Linked DNA regions of Kluyveromyces lactis. The protein of the gene in region 1 purifies or fractionates together with the protein of each later gene. This does not show direct contact. Links are inferred from orthologs where the notes say so. Each region holds a gene or a part of one and is shown on either strand. Other genes may lie near its edges.

Evidence for each region.
Region 2: the proteins of NOG2 (region 1) and REA1 purify together in Saccharomyces cerevisiae (affinity purification with mass spectrometry, with the first as the bait; 7 studies listed by BioGRID). This does not show direct contact. The link is inferred for Kluyveromyces lactis from reciprocal best matches to the Saccharomyces cerevisiae genes NOG2 and REA1.
Region 3: the proteins of NOG2 (region 1) and SDA1 purify together in Saccharomyces cerevisiae (affinity purification with mass spectrometry; 9 studies listed by BioGRID, with this or other methods). This does not show direct contact. The link is inferred for Kluyveromyces lactis from reciprocal best matches to the Saccharomyces cerevisiae genes NOG2 and SDA1.

The regions. Positions count from the first base shown.
Region 1 is NC_006039.1:1,670,837-1,674,450, forward strand, and holds NOG2 (putative GTPase NOG2), read right to left. Parts: upstream 2,631-3,614; coding exon 1,824-2,630; intron 1,344-1,823; coding exon 609-1,343; downstream 1-608. Other genes in the region: CCR4-NOT core DEDD family RNase subunit POP2, read right to left, coding at 1-154; RNA-binding ATPase activator ESF2, read right to left, coding at 3,000-3,614. UniProt on the Saccharomyces cerevisiae protein: GTPase that associates with pre-60S ribosomal subunits in the nucleolus and is required for their nuclear export and maturation.
Region 2 is NC_006042.1:1,851,693-1,855,449, forward strand, and holds the start of REA1 (AAA family ATPase midasin), read right to left. Parts: upstream 2,738-3,757; coding exon 1-2,737. Other genes in the region: REX3 (RNA exonuclease), read left to right, coding at 2,901-3,757. UniProt on the Saccharomyces cerevisiae protein: Nuclear chaperone required for maturation and nuclear export of pre-60S ribosome subunits.
Region 3 is NC_006037.1:499,241-502,986, reverse strand, and holds SDA1 (Sda1p), read right to left. Parts: upstream 2,891-3,746; coding exon 611-2,890; downstream 1-610. Other genes in the region: transcription factor TFIIIB subunit BRF1, read right to left, coding at 3,443-3,746.

The DNA.
Region 1 (3,614 bases):
GTTGCGACTGTTGAGGCATCATACGAGTACTATTCATAGAAGGGGAGAAAAGCATCCCGTTCATCCCAACTGGCCCTTGCTGCTGAACAGCGCCCTTCCCGAAAAATTGCTCCGAATTTGGCAATCCTCCGAGCTGACTATTAAGAGATTGCATTAAAATTCTATCGTACTTACTGGAGTAGTCCTAAATGACAACTCTTAAATCAGAATTGAATCGTATTCCAACCATATATGTCTCTGTCTCTTCCTTATCTAATGCTAAAGGCTTTCCTGTTTCGTTCCTCTTTGGCAGAAACAGAATTTTCGAGGGAAATGTCATTGTGTACGGTGTTGATATTACCACTGGCACCACTTCTCAATGGACAGTGGACCCGAATGGGTCCATTGTCCAGTGTTTCTGCCCCTGATCTGCATGCTTCACAACGTTCGGTGTTATCCAGCCTTTCTACTATTTATTTAATAAATTTCTATGTGCAAGACTTAGCCTAAGTCATCCGATTGATATTAATGTACAAAAACGATAGATCCGATAAGATTGTATATGGTGTGTCTATATATAAAGCGATGCCCGTGTCTGGAGAGAATTAAATATTGAGGAAGTGTTTGGTTTATTCCTTTTTGGCCTTTTTAGAAACAGGTTCTTCTTGTTCCTCTTGCTCCTTCTCTTCCTCTTCTTGATCTTCTTGATTTTCCTCTGCAGGACGTTTCTTATCACCAGGTTCCTTTTCCTCAATCTTGTCCTTCTCTGGTGGTGGTACGAACCATGGGATCTTACCTCTGTTGAAATCGTTCAAGATTTGTTTCGATACCCCGCTTTCATCTGGTTCACCACCTTTCAATAGTCTACCTTGCTTTCTTGCAATCATTTCGATGAAATCTACAGAGTCTTTCCATCCGGAGATCTCATAGGTTCTTTCCAAATGTTGTCTCTTACAACGTTTTAGAATACCTGGAATGTATTGTTCAGGATGCGAAACGTGTTCAACTCTTACCACACCTCTGAATAGAATATCCTCTTCACTGTCCTTGCTGGATGGCGGTACAATACCGGGACAATCGATTAAAAAGATTCTCTTCATCAAAGTTATGTATTGCCACACCTTAGTTTCACCAGGAATAGGTGCCACTTGACAGACCTTCTTTTTCCTTAGAGTGTTGATGATTGAGGATTTACCGGTGTTTGGATATCCAATGAACCCAACAGAGATTTGATGTCTGTCCTTATGCAGTTGTGAGAATTGACGTAGAAGTTGAATTAACGAACCCTTACCAAATGAATTGGTAATAGAGGCATGGAATGCCAATGTGGGACGTTCCTTCGATAGATGTTTTACCCATGCTGCCTGTTGAGAATCAAAAATAGGGAAAATCGTGTTAGTAAAATTGTAATCACATATGTGAATCAATAACCAATTATGCTTTCTACTGGGGGTTGACTCCATGCTGTATTGAGTATATTAGTGGTGATGTGAGGTTCTTTACTACGAGCCATGGCATAATAATTCTTTTCAGATCCAAAGCTCAACTCTTAAGTTCCTCCGTACCCGAAATAAAAGCGCTGATATATCCTCAAAACGAAGATTGTTCAACTAGGTTTCAACCATGACTCCATCAAAACGATGGATAGATCGAGGGTGGGTAGTATTGCTCTTCCAAAACTGTAACAGGCCCTTCTGTATGTGTAAGTTGTACTAGAATGTACGCAGAAACACCCTGACAAAGAATTTTGGTATTCTCAAGATACTGTGGTATTCACTCCCAGTTAGAAAGTATAATCGGTTAGTAGTAATCACTGAAGATTAAAAAGAAAGTTTAAAACATACGGCAACCCATGTAGGAACAAGATCACACTTGTTCAAGACGTATATCAAATGTTTATGAGGAGTCTCATTGGTCATGTAATCAGTCACCGATTTACAACGAGTCCCCAAAGGATCTCTAGCATCCAATACGTGGATGACGACATCGGAGGAATCGATAACCTTGTACAATTCGTTCCAAATACGTTTCGACTGACCTTTGTGGAAAATGGCTTCCTTTGCTGCCTGCGTCCAACCGTCTTCTTCCTCTTGCTTACCCATAAGCCCCAGAGTAGAATCCAATTCTTGCTTTTCTTCAAAAGTCTTATTATCGGTAGAAGTACTTGAAATCAACTCTTCCAACGACGACGCAGCGATTCTTGGTTTCTTCCTCTGAGCCTTAGGCCCAAAAGTTTGTTCAAAGGGCTCTGTCTCCAAAATCTTTGCCGTTGGAGATTCAGCGGAATCCTTTTCGTTCAACAACGACATCGGAAGTTTATTTCTTCTCAATAGCACCTGATAAGAATCACGCTTGTTCTCGCCCAAAGCTTCTCTGAAATGGCTCAATGAATCCTGAGAAATAACTCTGGTATTACCAAACCATCTACGGTCAGGAGCCACTCTTGCTGTTGGAGCAGCAGTATCCTGCAACGGAGCAGCCTTGATAATGTCACCCTTTGCATTACGAACAGATCTACCACCTTTGTACATGTTCAAAAACTGCACTCTCTTGGTGTCCCTGTAGAAATTCTCACCCTTCACACGAAGGTTACCATCCTTGGTATTACCTTCGCGGATTCTCCTTTGCTTTTCCTTCTTACCGGTACCCATTGTGCCTTGGTATAGATTTCAATTAGGTTTCCTTTGGTTCGTTCGTTTGTTCGTTCTTTGTGGTAACGAACACGTTCAATTTCGATCGAAAACTCAAACAGATGGAAGAATAAGTAACTGAATGTCTCTTGCCTGGACTGAGATCAACCTGAATCGAAACAAACCACTGATGAACCTGCCTTTGTTCCTGTTCCAATTCATGAGATGAGATGAGATGAGCTGGAAAATTTTTTCTTTTCACTTTTTCTTACACTATGGGAATGAAAAAGAAACCTGATCTTTGACCATGGGAATGGCAGGCGATGAGTTGTACTCTCTGTAGGGCTTTTGGCTTGGCTATATGCTTTATATATGTGTTATATAGTCATCTTAGAATAAACTATGCATGACATCGTTGAGTGCTTTCGATTGCGGTTGGGATTGTCTCTGAGAATCTGGAGCAGATGCTCTTGTCGAAGCGACTTTCCTCTGTTTGAAAGTCCTGCGAACTTCTTCATCGACCTGCTGTGATTCTTGTTGGTTACGTTTCTTGCTCTGTTTCATCTTGTTGACCATCTTTGATTTCTCTACGTTATGGATGAACTCTGCGTTCAACTTGTTGGCCTGTGAGATTTCCAATTGTAGCTTTGCTTGTCTGATATCGTTTTCTCTAGCGATTTGTTCTGTCAAATCGGCCCATTTGAACCCGGGCAAGTATTTAACGTTCATGACGTCGTCATGGTAGAAATTTCCCTTCTTACCACCGATAATATTACCGTTTAGAGTCGATGCGCACAGTTTAGCGTCCTTCTTTCTGATAAACTCGGCCCAACCTTCTTCAAACATCGTTTTCTTGTTCCCACCACTCTTGACACGCTGCTGGTGCTTGTGCTCCTCTTCACGTTTCAAGAACAGACGGTCCACTTCACCGAATCTTGTGAGAATCTGCCTTAGCTTGGCTGGTTTCATGTACGGTGGAACCCTCGATAGGTAAACCACACCGGT
Region 2 (3,757 bases), on another chromosome or scaffold:
TAGACAATAGATCAGAGATGTCACGGTCAGGAGAATGAACATAAACTTCGGTAAATCTTGATCGAATACCTGGTGGTAAATCTCTCTTACCGACATCTGTAGCAGGGTTCATACAAGCGAAAATTCTGAAATCTGGATGGGCTTTTATCGATTCTGCCTCACCTTTTTCAGATAGAAGTATACTTCTAGAGTCACTTTCTGAAAGCAAATCAGCTATGTTTTCAAGCGTGTCTGCCGAGGCCAAGTTGACTTCATCCAATAACAACCATTCTCCATTTCTGACAGCCTTCACCAAAGAACCTTCCACAAAATTAAACACAAACGAGTTTTCCAAAGTAGAGGATTGTAATTCAAATGATTCAACTGTTTGTCTGAATTCCTTCCATTTTTCCAATAAAGCTTGTTTACTCTCAGGGTCGAGTTTACGCTTTTTTTTCTTGTCAGCTTCCTCTTTCTCATTTGAGTCCTTTTTTAGAATGCTATCAGCCATTTTAATAGCTTCTTTCCAAAGTTTAGCGACGTTCTTCCATTGCCCCTTGGAGAAGCACTTATGGAGGAGTTTATAGAACTTCTCGTTCTTCTTCAAAGAGAATGTAGCAAGGAAAAGCCCCTCAAAATCTTCTAGAATTGGAATTGCGACAGTCCTACAATTCACAGGCTTGTAACCACCTAATAGATCACCGCTCTCAGTCTGCTGGGAAACGTTAATAACCGTCAAATTCTTATTCATTAGCTTTGCTAACTCTTGAACTACAGTAGTTTTACCAGTACCGGTCTCACCGACTAATAATGTTGGTTCACACATTTTGACGGCAACACCAATTTGTTCCATTAAACGAAGAGAATGATTGGTAAACGCAAACGATGTAGTGTTGGCACTTTTTTTATGAATAGTTGACTTGGGTCTTCTTAGGTGAGCTCTTCCAATTTTCACATCATCACCAGCTTTTTCGATTGCCGGTACATGCTTGTTCAAGAACAACGTGATTCTGGAAACTGAAACTTCAAGCTCTTCTCCAATTTTCTGTACTAAGGGCTGTACGGCTCCATATTCACTAATCGAACCAACAAAACAATCGACAGCTTCAGCAAAAATATCATCATAGATAGACGACTCGATAAGTTGATCCGGTTTAACAACTTGATTAGCTTCAAAAAGTTCGGTGATTCTCTGACTTAGTTTAACTAAATCTCGAACACTAATGATTCTTGGTTGAACACCTTTGTTCAATGAAACAAATTGTGGATTTCTGTAAATATCTTTCACAGATTTGTAGGTGCTGATAAGTTTCGGTATTAAGGCAGTTAACAAAGAAAACCTTTTTTGTAGAATAAGCTTCAAATCGTCTTCAGACGGCTCATCTACAAGGATTTTCTCCCATAATCTCATACCAATCAGGTCAGACTCATGCGTAATGCCACCATGGGAGGTGTGCTCGTCTAGTCTTATTGTTGCTAATAACTGGAAACCGTTGGCAGCTTTGATGACTTCACCTCTAGATGGAATGGATATTTCTCTTTTTTCAAGAAGGGTAAGAAGAACAGACAAGACTTCGGTTGGCGCTTTGTTGATATCCTCGATAAGTACCCATCGTCCCTCTTTAACTGCTGTTGTGAGAACACCGGATCTCCATTCAAAAGAACCGGGTTTTTCACCTGATGTATATGTACCCAAAAGTAGTTTAGCATCAGTTTGTTCACCTAAATGAATTTTGACAACAGAACTATCGCAGTTCATTTTTTTTGAAAGCTCATTGATCAAAAATGTTTTACCTGATCCAGCCTTACCCACAAGCATTACAGGCTTGTTGCGCTGAATACCTTCGGCCAATTTTTGTAAGGCCAACTTGGCACCATCCGTATATACTAGATCTGACTTTAGATGTTCTTCATTAGAAGGTGCTTCGGAGATTCTGGCAATAAATACACCACATACTTCAACAATCAACGACGAAAGTTCATTGATATCGATGTTGAACGATTTTCCAGTTGGTCTGAAGTTCTTTGGATAAGAAACAAGTTCATTGATTTCATTTGGTAGACTATGGTAATTTGAGAGCCTTTTAGCTTCAGTAAGTTCCAAAAATTGATAATCTACATCGGAAGCACCTTCAAATACACTTAAGATAGGTTCAGTTGACAGTTTAAGTTGATTTTGGACCACAAGTTCACAGGCGTGCTCTGCCATTTCAATAAGCATATTAAGAACTTTTAATGACAAAAATTTGATGATTGTAGATTGGTGTGCCAAAAGTGAATTAAGAGTTTGAGCATTGATATATCTCTCAAATCTGATCTTGTCATACTGAATCAATCGATAATAAGCCAAAAGGATCAACTCGATGTCCTTTGGATCATGAGCTTGGTAAGTTTGTAACAATGCGTTAAAGTAGTCACCATTTCTGAGCAAGAACACTTCGATCAATTGCGAAGCTTCCGGATATAAACTTGCAATTCTGCCCAATGCGTGTAATACCGTGACAAACTTCTTGGAGTCGTGTTGCAAAATCCATCTAGAGCAACAGTCCAAGAATATATTCTTGTAAATGTATAAATGAGGAATCGTTAAATCTTCTTTTAACGAGGAAAATGCTAAATTCGACAAGTTCTCATCGGTTGAAAGCTTGGCATCAAATCTATAATAGTCAGACAAGTGCTGCTGAGTAAAAGCCTTCTGGTATATAGTGAAGTTTTCCTCGGCCGCAGTAACATCTAAATAAATTAATGCAGAGGACATGGCTATAGTAATTCAATCCTTCGCCCCTCTTATAAGCAATTCTTCTTTCTTTCCTAGTCAATAAACAGAGGCAGAATAGAAAATATCCGTTTCGATGTTTTGATACTCTGTGAAAGAAGTGATATGCCTTACTTTGCTAAGTCTATAGCGGATCTGCAGTTAAATGTATCCTACACTCAATTTGGCAGTTTGTTTAAAGTCATCTCATCTCATCTCATCTCATCGCTTTTGTTTAAAAAATTCTCAGAGCACAGAAAAACACCAAAAAGAAATAAATATTTCAGTGAAAGAAAGATATACCTGCAATCCATCTCATCGGCAAAAGAAAAATGGATGGGTAAGAGAAAAGAATGCTTTGAGAGAGCCATTAACAGCAAGCCTAAAGTTTACAATCCATCTGAACTCCATTGTCTTCCGATACATTCCTCTGTATGCAATAATTATGGTCGGTAATCCAGTTTTACGTCCGGTTGACATGAAAATGCAACCTGCTCCGTATCAAGACAGAGTTAGAGTTGTCCAAAAGATATACACACAGTTAAAGAGGTTTCAATCGAGCAGCCCTCACATTATAAAGGCATCGACTATTTGGGAACATGAGGTTGCTAAAATAGCAAAAACAAGACAAAGTTACGCGTTCAATGCTTCCATTCTATTACGAGATATTGTTAAATATAAGGGTAATCTTGATAAAACTGGCAAACCTAAGAATAATAGTTCGTCATTAATACAAAGGTCCCACGTATTGCAAAAACTACGATCTTTGCTACTCGACGAGGAAACACTCAGTAGGAACGGATTTTTTGTCAAGATGTATGACACTGATCCGATCAATGAATCAGAATCAGATTATGTGGAATGCTATAGATGTGAAACTAAATTTGATGTGACAAAAATTATGGAACCGACAGTATGTCGGTACCACCTTCAAAGGAAAGTATATAACAGAGAAACTAAAAAAAGAGAATTTCCTTGTTGTGGAGCTTCCCTTGAATCATATTCAGACATATCTGCAGGGTG
Region 3 (3,746 bases), on another chromosome or scaffold:
TGACGACTCATCATTCAATTGTGAGTTAAAGTCGGCTCTTGTTGTACTGTATAGGTTTTATTGTAAAGACATCACCCCAGGTGAATGCTGCTGCACTACATTGAATAATACTGAGACGAGCTAGTCTAGGCAGTAGTAAATCGTTCCCTCGAGAGTAACGCGTTGGAACATATGCCTTCCCGGCCCCATTTAGTGCGGGCCAGCATCACGGGCCACAGCCCGTGATGCGAAGAAGGCTTAATGCCGACGCATGAATATAGCTGATAGTGTCGAGATTTCCATTCAAGCTGAAGTTCCTCAAACATCCTGTAGTGGTCTCTTTTTCTTTTCGAGTTTTTTTTTTCCCTGTTAGATCATGTCCTTCTCGGTCCAAAACCGTTGGCACACCGTTAAGCCGTGTTAATAGTCCTTTTTGACCTGGGATATGAGCAGCAGACAAGTGGTCTCGGATGGTGATATCACATTGGCTGAAAGGACAACTTCAAAACTGGGCTAAATGGAGAAAATGAGTTGGTCACGTGACACTGACGTGTCTTTTTTTTCTATCTTTTATATGCTGTGTCTACAAGTGCCTATAATTAATATAACTACTTTTGCCATGCCATCTAGTTTAATTACCTTTCTTCTTTTGCTTCGTGATATGAGCACGCAAGACCTTTTGTTTGTCACGAAGCGACATTTTTTGCTTACCCTTCACAGATCTCTTATGGATCATCATCACAAAGTTCTTCTTTCTAGATTTCTCTTTATTTGTAGTTGATCTCATTGAACTGTCACGCTTACCACGCTTACTTCCGTATTTTTCACGGTCTTCACGACCTTCCATAATAGATGCCATTCTTTCCTCTTTGTTCTGTTTCTTGTGCTTGGCTGGACCCATAAGCTTGTAATGCTCAATAGTTTCTTCGTTGTTGATCCCCATAAGTTTAGTAACACCCTTTTCAGTACGTAGTTCTTGAAGTTTAGCGAAATCGGCTGGTGTTAAGATACGACTGGATGCTAATTCACGGAAAGCTTCTTCTGGGTCAGCGGATTCACTTTCTTCCTTCTGCTCTTCTCCCACCTTTGGTTCTTCTTCATCACCGGATAATTCTAAATCACTATCTTCACCAGCTTCCGGTTCGACTTCATCGTGGGAACGTTTCTTACCCTTATGACCTGTTTTGTTCTTGCTTTCCTCATCGTCAGAGTCCATGTCAACTTCGTACTCTTTATCGCTTTCTATCGTCACCCACTCACCTTCTACATCCGAAGCATCTGATAATTCATCCCGGTTGTTCAAATCCCATGCAGCCTCATCATCATCATCCTCCTCGTTTCCGTTCTCACGCTTCCACTTCGCTAGTAACTCAATACCATCTATACCTTGTACATTAGTAGTCTCGACACCAAACTTGACACGTTTGGATTCCCTGCCATTGCGTTTGTCGTCCTGTAGTCCCATAGAAGCGGTCTTACCACGATCTTTCTTCTTTAACATCTCCGGAGCAACTTCTCTGTATAATGCAATCAAACCCTTAGCAGCAATGGCGACACTCTTGGCCTTGGAGCCCTTATATTCGGTTAAATCTTGTAGTAAAGTCTCATCGATAGCTAATGGGGCACGAGTCAAGATTTCTCTGACTGTATTCAAACCCACAGTGGCAACCTCATTTGAAACACCGTCGCTAACAAACTCGTTGGCTATCTTCCTCACCATCACTTCAATGGTCTCTGGAGGAACAAGATCATGACAGGATTGGGCTGCAGCAGATAGAATCTTGGTAACGTCCCTTTGCTTTGGCGTCAGGTATTTTAAGAAGTATGAATATAGTCCAAGAACCATTAACTTGTGTGTACCTGTTAAACGGGATAATAATTGCATGATGGCAGTCTTTTGTTCGAAATCAAATTTGTTCGAATTCTTACCACTTAGATGTCTTTCAAACAATTTCTCGGCAAACCCTTGTGGATCACGTAATAGATGGATGGCACTGAAATTTAAGAAATTATTCTGTTGAACACCTTTAGCAGATTTCTTCTTTACGACCTTAAGTGCTTGCTCTAGCTTCTTACCTCTTTTACTAGATTTCTTGTTGATCTGGAGCTTGTGCTTCAAAGCGGTAGTATCGATTTCATCCTCATCGTCGTTTTCTTCAAACGCTTCTTCACGCTCTTTATCAGCATCCAAAAAGAACAAGACACCACTGTATGCAATTTTAACATCGTTATGTAGTGCAGCATGGGTCATAATTTCAACCGATCTTGAATCGTCCCAGATACCTCTTCTCCATAACTCTCTTGTCAATTTCGATGCCCATATACCTTGAGAATCTGGCTGTTCCAACAAATTGAAACACAACGCATGGGTAGATTTGTTTAATTTTTGGTTCTTACCACTGGTGTTACAAGATTTCATCAACTGTACTAGAGTGTTGTAGATTAAAGTTCTTAGCTCTTTGGCGTGAGAATTCTGGACCATCGAATTACTAGGGGAAGAGTATGCAATAAGCAATGGGAACATAGTTTGAATCAAAGTCTCAGGGCTGATAACGTTCTTATTTCTCAACATAGTTAGACTGGTGATAATCTTTTCTTTCACGTCAAACGGAAGCGATTTGTGGTGATCTAATACTAACTGTTTCAATTCGTTTGGGAAGTTTGCCGTTTCACGAGGATAACAGGAACAAACTTGAGATACAAATCCAATTGCTCCCATAAACTCAGCCATTGCACTTTCATCAGTGCTCTCGTTGTTGACCGAATTTAACATGAAAATGTCTCTTAATGATTGGTAGTGAGCATATTGCTGTAGAAACTCTTCACGATAGGATTCAGGATCACGCTTAACAAGGTTCTGCAAGAGAATAATGTTTGTCGGTAGAATAGCAGCACGAGATCTCCTAACCATATTTGTTTCTTATTTGATTATGTGATTCCTTTTCACTGTTCGGAAATACTTAGTTGATTTGCACAAGTTCGAATAGTGTTAGGCAACTTTAGTTGTCTCGGAGTGATATACTTTGTTCATACATAGGTTCTATCTCATCGCATCTCATCTCAAAATTTTCTTCCTTCTAAAAAATTTCTTTTCACTCACGGTACGGAAAGAAGAAACCAGAGGCAAAAAGTGGGTTTAAGGCTCTTTAATATCTGAATAGGCAAAATGGTATACTGATGGTAGCTTATTATTGTGTTCCATAAATGAATAATAGTCCACACCAAACGAATATTTGTTTGCAATGTTTATAAATTATGTACGCCGTTTAAATATAGTTCCAAAAATATAATCGAAATGAAATTGATACACCAATTTAGTGTAAAATATTAAAATAAAAAAGAGCAAAAACAGACATCTGTATCAAGTAACGATATGTAAATAGCAGTTGGTATTCATATAATTTTCTTGAGTTTGATCTGATGGATATCGTACAAGAGAAGAGAAACAGTGACGACGTAGAAACTATTTTTGTCCAAAGAGACCGTTAATAGCATCGTAATTGATCTTCTTTGAGAAAGTCGTCTTTTGTAATAGATTCTTGACACCTCCAGCTGCGACAACATCTACAGCATCAGCGTCATCCACGGAAACATCAAGCGGTAGTCCGTCGACTTGAACTTTGACGATGCTTGCACTGGATTGGTTTCTATTAGTACGTTTGCTGCGTTTTTTTCGTAGCGAAGTATTCCCACTGGCCAAATCTGCTTCCTGTTTGAGTCTTTTTGATTCTTGTTCAATCAAGTAATCACCGTTGATATCAATCCAA